Linked DNA regions of Lonchura striata. The main gene of each other region encodes a partner of the protein of the gene in region 2 in a complex. Links are inferred from orthologs where the notes say so. Each region holds a gene or a part of one and is shown on either strand. Other genes may lie near its edges.

Region 1 (10,745 bases), on a different chromosome or scaffold from region 2:
TCGTCACTCAGCTCCGACATCCTGCCCTGAGGAGCCAAAGCAGAGCACAGCACTCAGCTGCTGATCCCTGTTTTCCATACGATTACAGCTCCAAGCTGCCATTGGCTTGGAAGGTGAGGCCAGCTCAGATGTGTGGGGTTTCAAATTCTTACCTCAACTTTGATTGACTCCTCACCCCGAAAAACCAACTGCTGCTGAAAAGACTTTGCTGGAAGTTTTCTCTTGCTGTAGAGAACTCTGGGATTCCAATACACTGGAAAAATAAAAGTCAATAATGCTAAACCCCACATCTTTCAAATCTCATTTTAAGACTGCAGAAGCAGCAGCTTTATTTCCTCCCTGCCTAATCCAAATATGTCTAAGGCAGCTTTAAATAACCTCGGCAAGAGAAGACTAAACATCTATTTAAGAGCTGAAGGTAGGCTTAGTGTTTTACAAAAGGATGTAATTCTTGCTCTGCATGTTTTATAATGCAGGGAGAGAATTAAGAATTCATATGTCAGACATTGCTGGTCTTGTCCATCTGTCTTGCATTATAGGATGGTCCTGATTAAATTAAGACACAGTCATTAATAATGACAACTGCCCACTGCTCCCAAAACACTCTGTCACCTGAAGAGGGTGTACCCTCCACTGTCATCAGGTTGTAAGTAGATTGTTTCTACCACTTATTGTTTCAGCCCTTCAGAGGCAGCCCAGCCTCATCTCAGTGAATCCTGGAAAATGCTGAAACACTGGGGGCAGCAGTGCACCTACCCATGCATTATCCAAGCACACCCCCCCTCCTTAATTACACAGCTCCTCCAGCTCCAGGACTGCCTGAAAGGTTTATCCCAGTCCCAGCCTTGGGGAGCAACTGCAGACTGATCATTTGAACCTCCCACAGGAGTGTTCTTCTTCACTCCATGAAGAGCCCAGCACAGCTGTATCCAGCAGCTGAGGGCTTCAGCTGCAGCTCCAGGACACAGAATCCAGCCCCCAGCACAGAACCCCAGAGTGGTTCGGGTTGCAAGTGACCACTGGGTGTCACCTCACCCAACCTCCCTGCTCAAGCAGGGCCCTCTGAGCACCTGACACAGGGCTGTGTCCAGGTGGGCTCTGGATATATCCAGGGAAGGAGATCCACAGCCTCTCTGGGCAGCTTGTTCCAGGCAATCCCATGGGAATTGCTTTTCCCTCCCTGTAGTCTCACTGCCCACCATACAGCTCTCCTGGGGTTTGCCTGGTCCCTCTACATAAGGTAAGACAACATAAAGTCCTTCTTCTTCCTGGTAACTTCTCACCAATTTAACTCCTTGGATTCATGTTGGGGTCAGGCAAATGCCAAATGTGGCACTGGTGAGGAATAAAAGAGAGCAGGAACAGGTTTTTCAGCAGCAGCTGCTCCTCAGCTGTAACACTTCAAGACCATAGTCCTGTTTTCTGAGCAACTGGGAATATTTGCCTTGCAAGCACCATCCCCTTTTCTTATAAGAAAACACCTTTCATTCCTACCTCTTCACTCCCCACCTGGATCCTTTCTCTCCCACCTTCCTTTTCTTCCCCTCCTTCATTCTCAGCTTGTTAAGACTACAAAAGCACCATCTATTCTATTCCATCAGCTGGTAAGAAATTATTTCCCTTTAAAAATACCTGCAAAAGCACCTACTTTGCCTGACAGCAGGAATTTGTAGTGCACTGGGCAACCCAGAGGCCTCAGACAGGAATATGCAGAGCACAAGGGAAGGGCCTGACCACCTCACAATCAAAACACAAGGAGAGCTAAGTGGATTGAAGTGGATCATAAGGGGCAAAGTAGGAATTTCTCACTAAAGCAGATTAAAGCTGCCCCAGGGAGGCCAAAAGGCAGTGAAAGGAGGTGGAATCCAGGGCAGTTTGTAGAAGTACATTTAGGTGCAAGTCTAGCTCATTGTTCTCTACTCTCCATGTTAATTGGGTACATTAATTATAAACCACTCAAGTATCTGGTCTTTGTCAGAATCAGCCACTCTCAGGTACAAGTTACCAATGCAGCCTTGGTGAGGTGATCCACAGTCAGCAGGGCAATAAGGACAGGACAGAACATCCAGGACATTCAGCCTCCTACACCTCTCCTGTGCTCTGCCTACATATTTGCTTTTTATTTTTTTAAAGCTCCTCACACTGAACTTTAGCAAGTCGTCAGCTCTGCAATCACCTGAGGACAGCTGCTCACAATCTCCAGGACAACAACAGTGATCACAACTCTCAGAACTGAACTGAAAAGACCTGAATGAAACAAAATCAGAGTTATCTGGTGCAAAGAGGAGGAGCCTGGAGGGGACATGTGACACAAGCATAATAATGCATCATGTCACAGAATACCAGGATGGTTTGGGTTGGAAGGGACCTCAAAGCCCATCCTGTTCCACCACCTGCTATGGGTAGGGACACCTTCCAGTATTCCAGGTTACTCCAAGTCCTGTCCAACCTGGCCCTGGACACTTCCAGGGATGAGGCAGCCACAACAGAACCCAATATTAAGAATAAGTTTGACAAAGACCTCCAGAACATTCACAGGCTGTTCCCCTGCTCTGGGGCAGAAGTTCACATTTGTTAGAGGCCTCCCTCAGCTCTGCTGTCCTGCTTTCAGCTGGGATAGGGTTCATTGTCTTCCAGCAGCTGGCACAGGCTGCTTTTGGATTTAGGATGAGAAGAATGCTGATAACACACTGATGCTTTGGTTGCTGCTATCCAGTGCTTACCTTAAATCAAGGACTTTGCAGCTTCCCATGCTCTGCTAACAAGGAGGTGCTCAAGAAGCCAGGGGGGAGCTGACCCAAACTGGCCAGAGGGATATTCCATTCCACAGAGCATCACTCCCAGTATATGAACTGGGGAATGTGCCTGGGAGGGGCCAATCATAGCTTGGACATGGGATGGGAATCAGCAGGTGCTGAGCAATCCTTTTGCTTTTGAGTTTCGTATGGGTTTATTTTCTCGTGATAATTATCATTATAGTATTATTATTTTGCTTCAATAATTAAGTTGTTCTTACCTCAAGCCATGAGGTTTTTTACTTTCTTTTCTGATTCTCCTCCCCATCCCACTGGGATGGAGCAGGGAAAAGGAGCAGCCTGGTACCTGGTAACCAGCTGGGGTCAAGCCATGACACCTGTAAGGCTGCTGTTATTATTATATTAAATTTAATCCATCAGCACTCAGCTATTTCTCAGGGTTAGAGCTCTACAGTGCTGGGGCATAGAGCAGGCAACAAACCCCACTTCCCTGGATTTGGAGTTTGCTGTTTGAGCACACCAGAAGGCAGAAAAAAAATAAACATAGTATGAAAACTGACACAACAAGCACCTTAGAGCCACACTACAATAAATGGAAGGAGATTTGAGGAGCAACCAGCCCCCAACACAGAACAAATGCAACACTGGCTGTTAATCACCCTCAGCAGGCACTGCTCAGCTCAATTCACTCTGTCACACCCCCTCCCACAAGCACTGGTGACATCCACACGTGTCCTTCTGTCCCAAAATAGGGACACCTAAGGCAGCACAAGCGTGGAGACTGCTGGAGGTTCCAACTGAGCCAGCAAACTGACATGAGAGAGTCATGGAATATTTTGAGTGGGAAGGCACCCCCAGGGATCATCCAGGGCAGCTCCTGGCCTGCACAGACACCCCAGCAATCCCACCCTGGGCATCCCTGGCAGCGCTGTCCAAGCACTCCTGGAGCTCTGGCAGCCTTGGGGCTGTGCCCATTCCCTGGGGAGGCTGGGCAGTGCCCAGCACCTCTGGGGGAAGAACCTTTCCCAAAATCCAGCCTGACCCAGCTCCAGCCATTCCCTGATTGGAACTGCTGCCCCCCCCGCCCAGAGCTCTGCCCTCAGTCTCCTTCTCCAGCTGAACAATCCAAGTGCCCTCAGCTGCTCCTCAGACCCTTCCCCTTGCCCCTCCTTGGGGCACTCTCCAACAGTTTTAGATCCTTCTGATATTGTGGTTGCCCCCAGGACTCGAGGTGAGGCCCCACCAGGTCAGAGCAGAACAGAGCAGGAACACACTCCCCTTCTGCTCCTGACTTTGCTCTATTTCCACTAAACCAGCAACAACTTATCAGAGGGACTTAAAAAGGCCCCATTACTTCCCTTTTTAGGTGCAATTGTTACCAGCTCAGCCACAACAGGAACCAGAACATCTCATTTTTGCAGAGTATCATTCGCTGACTGACTCAGCTAGCACAATTCACAGCTGCAGGAACCACACCAGGTTCCTGAGGTGGGTGAGAGGAAACATTCCTGGATTCACAACACTCGAGTTCAATCCTACCCACATCTGTTGAAAATACACAAAACACACCAAGCTTTTCATCTTTTAATGCTTAGACTCAATCACCTTAAAGGCCCTTTCCAAGCTGAGCGATTCTACCACGAGCCTGTAACTCTCGGGCACATTAAAACACATCAAACAACCTCAGAAAAGCGAGGCAAGAGGCACGAAAGCACCGAGCAGCCACATCAGGGAGCACATTTCCCCTGCCGGGGGCTGTGCCCGCCCAGGCCGCCGGACACGGCCCCCGCAGGGCTCGGCCCGGCCACGCTCCGCTCACACAACCACGCACCTGAGGCGAGCCCAGCGGCTGCCAGAGCGGCCGCCACGCGGCTGTTACCGAACATCTCGCAGCAAACGGCTCCGGGGCCGTTAGCCCCGCACCTGCCTCCCTCGCGGCCCTGCTAGCAACGCGGCCTCAGCATCGCAGACTGCAGCGAGCGGGAAGGAAGCAGTGCGGCCACGGGCACAGTGGAGGGAGGCCGGGAGTGCCCGGGCCGGCCCCAGGGGTGAGCGCCGCCGCTCCTCGCCGCTGTCCCGCCCCAGCCCCGCCGCTCCCTCACCTGCGCCCGGTGAGCGCCGCCGCCGGAACCAGTCCCCAAGCGCAAGGCATGCCGGGAGCGCCCCCGCCCTCACGGGCAGCGAACTACAACACCCAAGAGCCCCCGCGGCGCCGGGCCAATGGGAGGAGCCCGTGTGAGGGGCGTGGCGCGGGGCAGCCAATGGCGTTGGGGCTGGTGGCGGGCGGTTGCACGGAGCGGCCCCGAGCAGCGCCCCGCGGCTGTCCCGGCCCTGCGCTCGTCCCGGTGCCGCCGCTTCGCTGTGCCCGCGGCCCGGCCCGCCCGGCGCTGAGCGGGGCTGTGGGCGCCGTGAGTGAGGGCAGGGGAGCGGGGCGGGGCCCGGGCCCGGGAGCCGCGTTGCCATGGGGACGGTGGGCGTGCGCCGCCATTGCGGGGCTGTGAGCGGGGCCCCTCAGGCGAGCCCCGTCCCTGGCCCGGGGCTCGGCCCGGGGCTGCGGGGCTCAGCGCCGGAGCCAAGCTCTGCCTCCCACCATTGCGGCTGTCCTCACCGCTTCTCCTAACCGGCAAACGTCAGTTCTGGGGACAAGGAGAAGCTCAGGGTTTCAAGTCTCAGAGTCACGGAGTCGTTAAGGCTGGAAAAGACCTCCAAGATCATCAAGTCCAACCTTCGCCCTACCGTGCACAAGTTCTACAGAAAATGACTGTTGTGCTACTGCTAAGTGTTTGTTTTGGACACAGAGCACTGTTTGCTCCTACAGAAGATGCTGCATTAGCTGACTGACAAGTCAGATCCAGTGTCCATCTATAACCTTGGGATGTTTATCTCAGAATTTGGCACAGGGAGCCACACTAGGCAGTTTGTTTTATCCCCATGGGGCTCCTCTGACCCTTGGCAAGTTCTGCTCAGTGTCAGAGCACAGTGCTCCAGCCAGGAGGATTTCCCTGTTTCTTATCTAAGTGAAATTCAGGCATTGTCTCACACCAACAAAACCACTATAGATGAGGCCTATGAAGTATCTACAGAAGCAATTTGAAAGTTATAAACTTCCCAGGGGGATAGTTGAGTTTAACTTCACTTTTTGAGGCGTGTTCGTGGCCAATGCAGATAACAGTGTCAGTTACTCACAGTCACCAACCTGCCATGGTCCTTGTGGGTCTCTTCCAACCCTGGATATTCTGTGACACCTCTGAACCAGAAATCATTTCCTCTCATGTTTGACTGCCCAGAACACCATGTGATTGTAGTATAAAATGTAAAGTTTTTCTGTGAGGGTGAATGATCTGACCTCTTAGTGCAGCTGCAGTTCCTACTGTGTTGTCTCAGCTTCTCATGGACATCAAGGAACAGGAGGAAAGAGTCCACTTTATAAACACTTTGAGTGGTCAAAATCCATGAATGTGCCTATTCTTTACTGTTTTTAAAAATAAAAGTCCAGTGAAAACAAAAGTAAACATGAATCACATGGAAGGTTCTCTGCCCATGGCAGGTGGGTAGAACAAGAGAGTCTTTAAGCTCCATTCCAATCCAAACCATTATGAGATTCCATGACTTTGTGATCATTTTATCTATCTTCTGAGTAGGGAGGAGGGGAATGTGAGGGAAATTGGGAAGAGGAGTCAATCCAGCTGAGAGCAGAGGTGTCAGCCTGCCTTTGTTGTGTTCCTGTCCCATCCCTGCAGGCAGAACACGGGAACAGGCTTGCAGAGGACACAGTTACAGCACTCTGGCTGAGAATCAAAACAAAATTCCTTATAAATGAGGGGTTAAACTGCCCCTGGGATGTTTGTAGTGAGTAGGGCAGAAAGCTCTTAGCCATTTCTGAACTCGGATGGAAAGGAATAGCTCCAGAAATGCAGATTTTAACATTTCCTGCTGGGAGTGCTGGGAATTCTCTGCTCTGGCCACACACACTCTCTGGCCACACACACCTTGTCCTTGTTTTGAACTGATGTTATCTCATGTTTGGAGAGCTGTCCTTAGGCTCATCTTTCCTTTGCTTGAAGGGAAGCTGTTCCAATGGCCTCAGAAGCACAAAGTGAGGATGCAGAACATGCAGCTGAGCCTCCTGCAGCTCCTGTGCAGGGGAACAGGACATTCCAGTGGGGAACCTTCCTTGCTGCAGTGAAAGACCAGCTCCCATCCCTGGACTCCGACTCCTCCACAGTAAGCATTGAAAATCCCTCTGGCTTGTGGGAAAAAACTCTCAAAAGCAAGAGCAGGTGACCTTATCAGGCATTTTGGGGTGGCTGGTGTGGTATCCTGGGTGGGCTGCCTGTCCTCACTACAGAACACTGTGTGTTAATCCACAGCCTTCTGGATTATCCTTAATTACCCAAGTGTAATTGCCACCTCCTCTCCCAGTATTCTTTGGATTCTGCCCCATCTGCAGAGCTGCCTCCAGCCCTGAGGCCCAGCACAGACTTGGAGCTGCTGGAGCAAATCCAGAGGAGGCTCCAGGATGAGCAGACGGATGGAACAGCTCTGCTGGGAGCCACGCTGGGACAACTGGGATTGTTCAGCCTGGAAAAGAGAAGCTTTGGGGTGATCTCATTGTGGCCTTCCAGTTCCTGAGGGGGCTCCAGGAGAGCTGGAGAGGGACTGGGCACAGGGGATGGAGGGACAGGACACAGGGAATGGCTCCCACTGCCAGAGGGCAGGGATGGATGGGATATTGGGAAGGAATTGTTCCCTGGCAGGGTGGGCAGGCCCTGGCACAGGGTGCCCAGAGCAGCTGTGGCTGCTCCTGGATCCCTGGCAGTGCCCAAGGCCAGGCTGGACAGGGCTTGGAGCAGCCTGGGACTGTGGAAGGTGTCCCTGGATATGGCAGGGGTGGATCTGAATGGGTTTTGCAGTCCCTCCCAACCCAAACCATCTTGGTATTCCATGATATCACAGATTATTATGTACTTGAGGCTGGTTCTCCACAAGACATGTTGCTTTTTTGTGCTTTTTACCTGCCAAAGAAGCATAATTGCAGAAACCTTTTCATATGAAGTGTGAGACTGAGAGGTGTTGTGCAGAGTTCTTAACTGGTACAGGTTTTTGCTTGCTGGGTCTGGGCCAGGCTGTTCTTGGCTGCTGAAATCTCTGTTCACAGGACAGCATTGCTCTGGTGCTCTTCTCTAGTCCAAAATGCTCTGGCATCGACTTTTCTGAGGGGATAATGTGTCTCAAGATTTGATTATTAGTGGCATTTTGTCCAAATCAGAACATCGTGTTAATTTTCAAACATGTATAAACTTGAAAAACATTTTGAACACACAAAGAATATATTTTATCCCAACTTAGTGTAGACATTAATGGTGCAGGGGAAGATTGTGAGATGTGAAAGAGCCAGAAATGCCTCCAGTGGGTATTTATTATTTACCAATGATCCAAAGCAGTGTGATCTGCTGGATAAAGTGTTGATGGGATTCCATGACTTGGATTCTGCACTTACATCTTTCACTGTCATGATGGACAAATCACATTCCCACACTGTTCTCAGTTCCCTCTACCTACACCGTTATAATTATTTAGAACAACCCTTGCCTTTTAACATGTGCCTCTGTAGTACAGATGAAAGCCCAACACTGAAATTATTTATAGGTTTACTTGTTGAGTAAATTACAACCAGGCTAAGCAGCTCCAAATTTTGGTGCCAAACACCATTGAAGAACCCCAAATCGTGCTGAACATTTTTTTCACTCTTTACAATCTCCAAATTCTCTGTTTCTATCCCACATGGAAAAGATTTCCTGCAGAAGGAACTGAGGCAATCTGTCTGGCACTTCATTTGTATTCAAAAGATCTGGTTGTGTAATCCCTGTCCTGCTGAGGCTGCAGTTCCAGGGCTGCACCTTTGTCCGAGGAATTTCCACGTGGGAAAGATTGCGAGCTGTCACCTGAACGTGCTCTGTTCCCACCTCCAAAAATGGCACTCACAAATGTGTTTTATGCCCTGAAGCCCTTTCATTACCCTGATATGCAATTTATTAAGAGGAAAGATGTTCTGATGCAGTTGGTTTTGTGTTAATGACACCAGAGTGGATTCTCTGCAGTGTGAATTCCAAAAATGCATACTTGCAAAACAAAGGGACAAGCAGGAAAGCTGTGTCCTGACTGCTGAGGAGCTGCTTAATCTCCTTTTGGTGTCCATGCATAAGGATTCATCTCCAATGCATATCTGATGTTTAAAAAAGGGATTGTCAGAGCTATCTAAATGCTGCCTGACCAAACACAGACGCTGTTTGCATTCTGAACAGGAATCAGGCTCTTGAGGGCAGTGAAAAGCCTTCATGGCCCTGCCTGGCCTCACCTGGGGCTCCAGCAGCTCTATTTAAGCTCAGCTCTGGCCCTTCACTCCTTCTCTGAGCTATGTTAGGGAAGTTTTGGTTTTCTAGTTATGATCCTGCCTGAGCCAGACTTTCACCTGTGAATTGACTTTCAGTTTTGATCTCTGACCAGCCTCATCACTCCAATATTGCCCAAGGATCTGGAGTTGTGCCTCAGCCTGGTAGATCCCCCTGCTCTGTTCTGCTTGTTCCTTTTGGGTTCTGTGGGACTGGGCTTTGCCTAGTGAGGCCTTGCCTTTCCAGTTCCTGAGAATCCCAGAATGATTTGGGATGGGGGGATCTTAAAGCTCATCGAGTTCCACCCCTGCCATAGGCAGGGACACCTTCCACCATCCCAGGCTCCTCCAAACCCCATCCAGCCTAGCCTTGGACACTGTCAGTAATCCAGGGGCAGCCACAGCTGCTCTGGGCACCCTGTGCCAGGGCCTGCCCACCCTCCCATGGAACAATTCCTTTCCAATATCCCATCCATCTCTGCCCTCTGGCAGTGGGAAGCCATTTCCCCTTGTCCTGGCACTCCAGGCCCTTGTAAATATTGAGCAGCTATGCTCTTGCCTCTCTGATGGTGAATGAGGTAGTGCAGAGAATCACTTGGGAGTTAGAGAACTTCCCACACTTTCCTTTGCTTTTCTCAGCAGGAGGTTTGTCATTAACCTCCATGGGAATTTGATGTTTTACATGTTTTTACATTTGTAACTTGCTGAAATGTGAGGTTGGTGACTCTTGGGCTACCAGACTGTCTAGTAAAGGTGCGACTGCAAGGAAACTTCTTGTCTCTGCACTTCAAGAGGTGCCAACATGGGAGCTGTCACTTCAAACCAGATATTCCAATATCAGTGAGTATTGCAGTCTCCTGTTTAATTTCTCTGTTTTATTCTGTTTGCAGTCTGATTGTGAGAGTGATGAGGAGCTTTTCATCTACCAGCGGGACCTGCCCAACTTAATTCCGGACCTGTCGGAAGAGCTGATGATGTTTTCCCTGGAAGACTCCCAGGAGCAGGTTGGGACTGTTGTGTGTGGGCTGTCCTGTCACCCCTCTCTTCTGGCTGTCCCCAGTGTGGACAGCTGCTGATGTCTGACCTATTTGTCTGAACAGGAAAAACTTAGTCCTCAGTATTTTCTCTCACTAGAAAATATAACTTTTTTTCTCTTTTTGCATTGGCCCTTTAAAGTTTTCTCTGTTCTTGAGATTTTGGATTTTTTTTGTCCCATCTCTTGGCAGCTTTTATTGTCCCTTTACTGTTTTTCTTTCCTGTGCATTAATTTTTCCTGTGCACTAATTCCTGTGCAATCATTTTATGTGTCCAGAAAATTAATTAGGACAGTGCAGGAAAGAGGAAAAGTATGAAGTTTACTCTTTGAACAGCTTTTCTGGGATAAAATCACATTGTTCCTTCAACAAAGATAAATCCATGAAATCACAGAATGGTTTGGGTTTGAATAATGAGCACATATAAGAAAAAGTAATTTAAAGGATGTTTAGCAGTTCCTGAAATCAAAGTTTCTGGAAAGTAAACAATCTCACTGTTTTCCATGAGGGACGTGGTGTGGGTTGTTTCCATATGGTGTCTGAGTTGGAGCTGTTGCCTTCCAA
Region 2 (10,182 bases):
AGATTTCTAAAGGTGTTTTATGTAGTACATTCAAGTGATCAGGATTGGCACCTTTCTCCATGAGCTGCTGTGCCAAGCTCACCTTTCCACTGCCAGCTGCCAGCATTAAAGGACTCCAGCCCATTGTCTTTAGAGTGTAGTTACAATCAGCTCCCCAGTCTAGCAACAGATGTACCACTGCCTCATGTCCATGCTGAGCAGCTGCCATCAGCGGAGTGATATCAGGAAGGTCATCTCTGCTGCTGTTAAGTACATTTGTGCTAAAATGGTCGTAATTGTCCACAAAAGCTCCGGATTCCAGCAACAGTTTCACCATGCTGACATGACCACCTCTGGAGGCCATTGTGAGAACATTGGCCCCTAACTTGTTCTGTGCATTGAGATCAGCACCATTCTCCAACAAGATGTGGGCCACGCTTAGATGTCCAAACCTTGGGAGAAAGAGATACAGAGGAGAATTAACACCTTGGATTGCAAAATCCAACATACTCTGAACCTAGAAAACTTTGTTACCAACTTTGCCTATTGACTAATATGCACACTGTGGGGGATCACACAAACATCTCTGAATGTGACAATGGGCACCTTGATGGAGGAGACCAATCATCAGCTAAGGACTGTAAACTAAACCATTCCACATGCACCAGTGACCATGTTCATAAAGCAGGCACCTACTGAAGAGGATGGTCTGCTCAAAGCAGAAAAGTGCCAGCCTCATTTTCTGCTGCAGGGCACCAACTCATAACTTCCACAAACCAGAGTGTCGCTTTCATCCTCTTATTTCCACAGCTGTATCACATTAGCGGATCAAAGCCAGCTTGTTTCCAAGGATCTTTATTAAGTATCTTCATTGCTATTGAACAACTGCTAACTAAGGAAGAAAAAGACTATTTTATCAACTGGAGAGTCAGTCTTATATTTGCATTATCCCTTGTTTTGCAGTTGTGAGCCACCAATGAACTCCCACAATGGAAGAAGACTCAGTGAATACAGACGTACCCAGGAAGCTCAGGGAAGCTTGCCCTGCAGGAATGACACCAAATGTAGACTCACGTTGTGAGTGGCCATCACTGTTGTAAAGTTAGCTGAACTTCCCTCAACACCAAGGGGACCAGAGGAGATCTCTAAGAGAAATGGCTTACCAACAGAGTGGGACAACTGGCCATGTGAATGGCCTTCCCTAAAACAATCAATGGAAATTATTCTGCTCCTCAGTCAGACAGACCAGCATGGGGAAAGCATCTACACAGTTCAGATGAACACCAAAACTGAGGAACTAGAAGATAAATTTTAAGAAAGTAAGGTGCTTGACTTGGCTTCCAGCCACATATTGCTTCCTGATAACAGGAGATACCCAGTGCACAAGTTGACACAAGCAGGAAGCCAGAACAACCACAAACTCACTCAGATAGAAGGCAAAGAGTAAATTTATTTGTTACCTCGTGAACCTGGGGATCCCCAAAGCAACACACAGGCAGAGATACAGAAGTAGCCAAGCAAGTACTATTACCAGTTAGTGCTAAAGAACCACTGGATTGCAGTTCATACAATGTTATCTAGAATTATTCCTGGCTGCAAGGTCACTTAAGTGATTTACAATCCTCCTCAACAGTCTTGTGGTTTTTAACCCATTCCTTCCAGCATTGTGAAGATGAGCATATAGGGAATGGTAATGGGTGTGCCGTGATGTGATTGACTATCTGTTGCAGTTGTTATGTCAGGCTTGTGCTATGATTTCAGGAGACTGCTGTATTACAAGGTTAAATTAAATTAAAACCCTGTGTAATGTTACGTATCTTCCAATATGGAAATTTGGCACCAAACCCTCCTTGTGTGGAATATCTACAAGAACTTGGTCAGACTACTGAACACACCAGTTTTACCTAGTTTTGAAATCACTTGACTTATCAGAGGCTCTGCTAGTTTGTCAGTAAGCAAAAGGCAATCATGTAAGCCACACACCCAACCAGCCAGATTATCAGTGAAAAAATGGCAACCCCGTATTTTAATAAATATAATACCTTGACAAGATGTGTGCATCATGCTGTTGTTGCAGGCATCGTGCACTACTACATGCTCATGCACATTGTGCCTAGCACAACCCAACTTTTGACCCTGAAGGCAGCCTTTGTATATTACAACAAAGCAAAGCTTAGTCAAGGAAACCCCAAAGAATGCTACCAACCACGAGCCCCAGAGTCCTTCGTTTCCTTCCAGAAAGTACACAGTTGCAGAAGGAAGCCTCTGGAGCCTGTGTACTCCTTAGGTCTATCCTGCACCCTTCACTCCATCACTTCAGTAGAGCCTGCAACCCCTGCACACAGTTAATTTTATGCATACATGCCACCTCCTGTCCAACTGCAACAGAGCTAATCACAGCCAGAAAATTAAACAGTTACCTAAGTCTGAAGCCTACTTTTGCACAAACACTGGGCTTCTTTTCTGATTATCCATTAAAAAGAAAAGAGAAACATACTTTTCTACTATATGCTTCTCAACAATAAATACATATATATATATAACAATAAATACATATATATATGTATATATATATATATACATATATATATATATATATATATATACAGTACTTTTCAAATGTCAGTCAGTAATTTCTTGATATCAGTGAGAGGGTTATATCTGACTTTATTGTTTTTAGGAAATGAGCATATGGTTTTCATTAAGGGGGAAAAATCTAAAACTGCTTCTACAACTTTTTTCCTTTTTTTAAAACCTTCATAAAATAACCAAATTGTTGAACTTTGTCTTCCTTGTTCTTTCTGGGAAACCGGCTGTGTGACTCATCCTCTGGGAACTTGCTATGGCCATTAATTGAAAAGAGAAATACTGACTTTGAAACAGATTATTTTCTTCCAAATATTTTAATGTTATGGAAAAAACAACAAAACCAACAAAAAAAAAAAAAAAAAAGCAGAACAACAACAAAAAAATATTCTCCTGATTAAGCATTCAGTTATTATAGGACAGCAATGCCCTCCAACCCTGCAAAACACGCCTGTGAGCTCAAGGTGTGCCTAGGAATAAAGACAAAGTACCAACACCAGCATCAGCAACACGGGAACCTCCCACGGCCCAGCAGTGGGTTATGAAAGGACAGTGTCACCGATGCAGAAAACAACCGGTTTGTCATTAAAACCCCTCAGTAATGATTTTCCCTATCCTCCAGCAAGCCACCTAGGCAAACAAGGGCCAGCCAAGTGAAATTAATCGTTTCAGTTTGCTTCAGTATGTTTTATGTCAGACGTAGTTTTCAACAAGTAAGAAAGACACATACAGACGGGAAAAAAATAGAAAAATAGAAAATTAAGTAAGGCTACGTGCATACAGCTATCGTCACAGAGGAGAGCAGTGTTTCGTGTTCACGTTAGCTCCAATTTTGCGCCGGCTTAACCAAGGAATAGTAAACACCACATTCTTAACATGAATAGTTCCCAGTGCCCCAGGATAGCACTTAGCCAGTTCTACGCTGGCCAGCCCCCCCAAGGACGGGACGAGTGACCGCTCCGCTCCCCGGGACAGCCGCGGGCTCCGCAACCCACCGCGGCCTCCAACATGGCGTCCTGCCCCGGCCCGGGGTCCGCAGGGCGAGGGAGCCGAGCGCCCGCGGCAGCCCGGGGGCGGGGAAGGCAGAGCCCCGGCGGCCCTCCCTCCCATCCCCGCCCCGGGGCTGCCGCCGACTAGGCCGAAGCTGGGACCCCATCGGGCCCGATCCCTCCCTCCCTCTCCCCTGTACCTGGCCGCTTGCATGAGGGGGCTCCACCCGTAGTGGTTCCTGCTCTGCACCGAGGCGCCCTTCCGCAGCAGGAACCGCACCAGCTGCTCGTGGCCTCCCGCCGCGGCGAACTGCAGCCCCGTGTTGCCGGCCTCGTCCGTGCAGTCCACGGGCACGGCGGGGCTCGGCGGGGACGACGCTTCGCCGCGGGGCTCCGCCGCCGTCTCCTCGGCGCCGCCCGAGGAGGAGGAGGGGGCCGCCGGGTCGGCGGGGCCGCCGCCGCCGGGCAGCCCCAGGAGGCGTCGGGCGGTCTCGCAGTCGCCCTGCTCGCAGGCGCGGAGGAAGAGCTGGACCTGGGGGGGCACGCCGCACTCCCCCATGGGCAGCGCTGCCGGGCGCCGAGCGGCTCGGCCGCCCGCGACCGCCCCCGCCGCCGCCGGGAAGGCAGCGGGGAGGAGGGGACTCGCCTGGCGGGAGGAGGCCGGCCCAGGGCGGCCGTAGCGCCCCGGCCGCTCTCGCCCGGCGCGAAGGGGGAGCCGGGCTGGGCCGCGCTCCTCGGAGCCGCCGAGGGTTAGCCCAGCCTGGGCCGGGGTGTTCGGCGCCTCTCCTGCCCCGCTGGCAGCCCCCTGCGGTGCCTCCCTGCCTCGCCCAGCCAGCGCCTGTGTCCGCACGGCTCCTGCCCTCCTCGCCGAGGGATTTCTGCGCTCTGGCTGCAGCCGTTCCGCGCCGTTACTGGCTGCCACACAATCAAATGTCTCCGCATTGCGTGTCTTTTCTGCCCGGGGTCATTTCAGCAGGCCTTCGCTATGGGGTTTATTCCTTCTCACCTGACACAACAATCCCTTTTTCTTGCTTCGCAACGCGACTTCGTACAGCCTGGCGCGGTCCCTTTGTCAGCCCCGCTCCCTGTACGTGATGCTTCAGCCTTTACTTGCACCGTTCTACTTTGTGTCTCCTATAGCTCCAAAGCGATCTCTCCTTTCAATGAGATACAGGATTTGAAGTTCAGTCTTTTGCCCTACAAATACCCATGTCTCATCTCCTGACAGCGCTGATTAGACATCAGTTTAAAATCTTTGTGCATAAAATGTAGATTTCCTGTGTGTCTTCTCTTCAGTTCCAGACCCCTAGGAAATCCTGAAATCTTTCCTAGGTTAAACTGATTTTACATCTAAAGCAAGGCAAAGAAGAAAAGAAAAATCTTGAACTTTGTCACTCAAGGATATCGTGTTGTGTCCCTGTCTGTAAATTCAGATAGGTAATTTTCTATGAAAATCAGTGACTTCAATGGCAGGACAGGGCACCTGTTACAGGATGGAGGGTTTGGGGATGAGAAGACTAGGAAAACCTAAAAATAATATAATAAAACTACCAAATGCCACTAAAATGTAGCAATCCCCTGGGTTTAGGCAGTGGCATCCTCATCTTCCAAGTTTTACACCCTTTTGGCTCTGAAACACTGGCAAATCCAGATTACTAGATCATCATGGCAAAGGGCCGAACAAGTTACACTTGGAGAAAGTCTACAGCAAACAAGAGTCTTGGCTGCAGTTATGGACACTTTTCCTTTGGGAAAGTACCATTCATAGCAAAACAAAATAAGTATTTGCTTATTTATCATTACAGAAATAATAGAACAATTTCTTGGACAGGGCAGGTGTTCAAGGATACTTCTTTCATTATAAATAACATGTGTTAACTCATGTAGAATAATTAAGTATGTGTTGCCTACATTTATGTTAAATAATTTTCTTAAGCATAAAGAAGCTTACAGTGGCCGTCAGCAGAATAAAGATGGGTGGGTTGGTAGAATTTTGGTCCAGCCAAATCATCCTACAGCCATCCTTACATTACAGCAATATGAGAAGCTTGCCATTGTCAATAAAGCTGGATGGTGCACTTCACTCTTTGTAAGATTTCAGAGCCTGGCAGAAGGGAATGGAAAGAGTGATTAATGCAATACATTATTCATTATTGAAGAAAATTGGGTCATACTTACCATATCAAAGTGCATGCTAAGATATAGTCAAATTAGTGACAAGATCACTCCAGTTTATCTTTGAGATAAGCTACTCAACATGTTGATCCTACAAATTTATGTTACGTAGCTGATGGTTATGCTATCAATTTCTACTCGTGGTTTGCAACTCCAGACAAAGATATCATTAATGGATTTAGAAACCTATCAGCAAAAGATGCAACACCTATTTTAAGAAGTTTATAAGACATAGGAAATATTTGATGGGGTTTAAAACATGAGAGGGAAAATTATTTGTCCTGAATTCTGCTGCTGTCATCTGATGGTCATTACCATCTTCAGTAGGCTTTTATACTGGTATGATCACTCAGGGATTTCTGTCACAGACTGACAATCAAGGCAAGGAAAAATAACCAAATTTCTTCTGAAATTAATAAACTGCTATGGAGTCTTCTCCTGGATGATGCAGTACCAAGCTCTTTGGAAAATATAGGATTTGATTTCTTCACCAATGAAAGAACAACCTAAGCCTTTCAAACAGTTCGTTAGGATAAGATAATGGAGAAAACTTAGGTTGGAAGATAAGATGGGACAAAATAAAACCAAGATTCTCAAGTGTAGACTGTGTGTGAGTTGTTCAGAAGATTTTTTCCAAACTGCATCTTTATCCAGTCAGTGAAAAATACATTGCTTTTGATAAGAAATTCCTTTGCATCAGTTCTGTGCTAATTTATATAGCTCAATGGTAGATTGCTCCAAGGTTAAAATAATTTTAAATTACAGAAAAAACCCAAATGAATGAAGAAATTATTTTCAAATAAAGATGAGGAAAGTGCAAGGAACAGAACAGGCCCACTAAAAAGTGCAGAACAGATAAGGCAGGAGTACACACGTCAGGAATCAACATCTATGAAAATTCTCTAGCATAAGTCTCCACTGCTGATGATCTCAAAACACCAGCAATACTGGCAAGGAGATACAAGTTTTATTGATGCTACTCATCATATAATGTGAAATAAAAGAGATAAATTACTTAGGGCTATTGTTCTTCAAGATTCAGAATTCATCTTTTGCTAAACATAGCCTAGGAAACTGTTAGAGCATGTAATGTGCCTGTGGAACATTAAAGTAAGTGTAATGATGGCAATGTGCAATGGTGTAGAACTACAAATTGGCCAGGTAAGGTGACAAAAAAATTCTGTTGCTCATACAATAGTAACAGGATGTAATATATTTGGATACATACCGTGACACATGAGCAAATCTCTACCTTGTATATAATTCAGGATCATGAAATATGGAAAACTGTAAAATTGCCATCATAATCAAAAGCCTCTCAGAAATGTTAAAATGCAAGTTGTCAAACAATCTGTTCCAAAGAAATCCATAAAATTAGAAACAGCTGACTCACTCATAATCTGTATTTTCAAAGTCTGAGGTTGGTGGCATCTCAAATCCCCAAGTATGATGGCATTTTTTCATGGCAATTTAAGAGGTAAAATACTTATTTTCTACTGTAGAATCTTACTGATGTGAATCACAAGGAAGTCATACTTCTGAGAAAAAGAAAACTGAAATTTTTAGTATGTCTTTTGTGTAAAAACACTTATCTCTGCCTTAATGAAAAGGAAGATACATATATTAGAAATACCATCACAGAACAGGAAATGCTTCCGCAGTATGGACTTGTTAATGTATGTTAACTGTGGTCCTTTCAGGCATAGAAACAGAAACAACTTTGAAAAAATTACAAAAAACCAAATAGTAGTAAGCAGCTACAGTGTAGGGTGACAAAGATTAATTTCACTATGCAATACCTGCTTGACTTCTTGGTTCTGAATTTTAATCATGGTCTTCCCTTTGTCTACTATAACCATGTGCTATACCTTTATGAGGAATTTACTTCATTTATATGTTTCAGAATATGCCATAATTTTGACAAACATTCAGAAAGTATTTGCAACTCTGTGTTTTAATTAATTGTGTCTGCATGAGACTTCATGAAAAATCAGTCAGGTTTCCAACAAAACATATTTTCATTAACATGCCACATCATACCATACTTTGTGAGCAGAACTGCAGTTTTGTTGCAATACTTTCTGACAGCTAAGCTTCCTGGCCTACTTTTCCTTTATGTACATTATATGTTCCACTGCCTGTAGTTCATGCTTGCTATTTTGCTTAAGAAAAAAATTATCTGCAAGCAATACATACCTACAGCAAGCAAATATATTGACTGATGCCTTTGACATGCATACTCTATCTCTGTCTGTCTGTCCTGGCTTTTATGTGAGTTTCTGAGCAAGGCATTTTGTGTGTGTAATTTATCTATGTGTACACATACACATGTACATGTGCACATACATGTTCTACAGAGGTCTGCAAACTGGTGTAGCTGAGGTCTTGGCCAAGTAATCCACTGAATGCTGCCTCATTTTATTGACCTGTCACTAGGAGAATTTCACAGCATTCATCAGATAGAAGGTCCCTGAAGGAGGCGACAGTTTCTATGTCAGTCATCAAGTCTGTGTTTTTAATCTGTTTTATTTTTAGAGTTCTTCCTCTCATCTCAACTCCTTGATCTCTCTACCTGTGCACTATACACCCAGCTTCCCTCTTGACCCAAAGCTTACCCTGTAAAACAGGGATCCTGCTGAAGCACTAGGACCCTTTGGCACTGGGGAAGCAGGGTGTGGCTAATTTCGTGTTTTGTATGCGCTGTGCAGCTGTCTTGAATAAAGAGACTTTCAATCCAAACGCATTTATTTAAAAAAAAATCCTTGGCACTGGTAGTTATAGGCTGAATAATAATATTTTAAAAATATTTGTGCTAATAAAGGAGAGAAAGAGCAGCCAAGGTGAGAACTGGGGGGGGGTGGGGGGGGGGGGGATGATGTTGCAGGGCAGTGCACAGTTTTTATGCACATTTAAAACAATGGTGAACAATGAGCCCATAGGTCCAATACTATCTCCAGTGGGTATGTTTTATAGCTTGTACGATTCTTCCTTTCCTTAAGCAAATTTCCTATCTATGACCAAAGTTTTTGTACATGATGTTTCCTATCATATTCTTCTGATTTTTCTTTTTTCTTTAGAATATGTAAGCATTGGCTTTTTCTAGAACTAGGAACTTTATTCTGAAATACATTAATTGATACTCTATTTTTACTCTGGAAGTGTGAATTTAGGAAGCTCTTTAACTTATTGAAAATACAGTCTTAGCACTCTATTTCTATTTTAGATTTTTGCTTTTTACACACAAAAAGAAAAATTTGCAAAATTTAATAGTTCAGTTTTTTTTCTGTAATGTATATGTCATCATTTAAAATAAGAATACCTTTTAATAACTCTACAGGTGTCAAATAGTTCACCTTATCTTACCTCTTTAGGTATTCCCTATATGCAAACCTCATGTATTTTAGGTGAAACCTAAAAAAACTCATGCATTTTAGGTATTCCCTATATGTAAAGCTCATGTATTTTAGATGAACTAAATATTACCTGCATTTCAAACATATTTCAGAAAGCAACAGATACACTCTTAACTTCAGCTATTACATTCACTATAATGTGAATTCTTGTCTCGTGGACAATTACATATTGTTGCGGTTAGTTTTTATATCTTAGTGCTTTTTGATAGGTTTAGTTAATATTTTGTATACTTTTTGAGGTAAAGAAAAAATTTCCATTTTTAAAAATAAACTTTTCAAAGGCATTGATTATTCTACTGATCTTCTGTTTTAATTTGGACAACTAAGGACACAATAGATATTTCTAGATAAGTAATTAGAGTTTTTATATCACTTGTTTGGTTACTCTACTTATCTTTGTTTGAAACTCCTGAAGCAAATGAAATTATAACTCTTTAAACACTAAAAAACATAGCTAATTGTTTTAACTTCTATTCTTATTCCACCTGAAAGAAACAAGAGAACTTCTTAAAAGGAACTCTTCCATGAAAATGTTGCTACAAGTTTTATGGCCAGCAGTAAACTCATTCATTTGCCTTATTAATTGTAGATTGTTTTTCCTCTGGGGCTTATTTGTATGTTCAGAGAGAATTCTTCACACCTTAACTATTTCAGCTCAGAACATTCAGTCTTCCCATCATATTTACATCCCATTATTAGCAATATTTTCAATTCCCACTGTGATGATAATCACAGAAAGTCTTCACCCATTACTTTGCTGTAAGAGCATTATTACTGCTGAGAGCAGTTCTGTAATTTTGGTTCTCTGTTTCCCATTTTTTTGTTTCAGAACTTGTTTTAGTCATGTAATCATGTTCTTGTGCTTCTTCCATATTGCTCTAATACTTAAGATACTTACATAAAATACAGATTCTTATAGTTTTTTTCTTGGGTTTTAACTTTTTTTTTTTTCAGTCTTCTTAATTAACCCTTAGTCCTACATTTTGCTCTTTACCTCTTCCCAATCTCCTCAGTAACTTCTTTTGGGAGTCCAGGAGGAT

Evidence for each region.
Region 1: the proteins of ANKS6 (region 2) and ANKS3 are in contact, whole or in part, in a crystal structure (PDB 4NL9), measured with the Homo sapiens proteins. The link is inferred for Lonchura striata from reciprocal best matches to the Homo sapiens genes ANKS6 and ANKS3. Residues at the interface, in NP_775822.3 of Homo sapiens: Glu796, Gln797, Glu798, Val799, Asp800, Glu802, Ala803, Thr806, Leu807, Asp811, Glu814, Leu815; in NP_597707.1 of Homo sapiens: Lys441, Tyr442, Thr470, Leu471, Phe472, Gly473, Pro474, Arg476, Lys477, Arg484.

Annotation. Positions count from the first base shown.
Region 1 is NC_134618.1:3,519,026-3,529,770, reverse strand, and holds the start of ANKS3 (ankyrin repeat and SAM domain-containing protein 3), read right to left. Parts: upstream 4,897-10,745; 5' UTR 4,859-4,896; intron 254-4,858; 5' UTR 153-253; intron 27-152; 5' UTR 21-26; coding exon 1-20. Other genes in the region: DNAAF8 (dynein axonemal assembly factor 8), read left to right, coding at 6,834-6,980, 10,038-10,151. UniProt on the Homo sapiens protein: May be involved in vasopressin signaling in the kidney.
Region 2 is NC_134603.1:62,336,635-62,346,816, reverse strand, and holds the start of ANKS6 (ankyrin repeat and SAM domain-containing protein 6), read right to left. Parts: upstream 4,114-10,182; coding exon 3,755-4,113; intron 432-3,754; coding exon 1-431.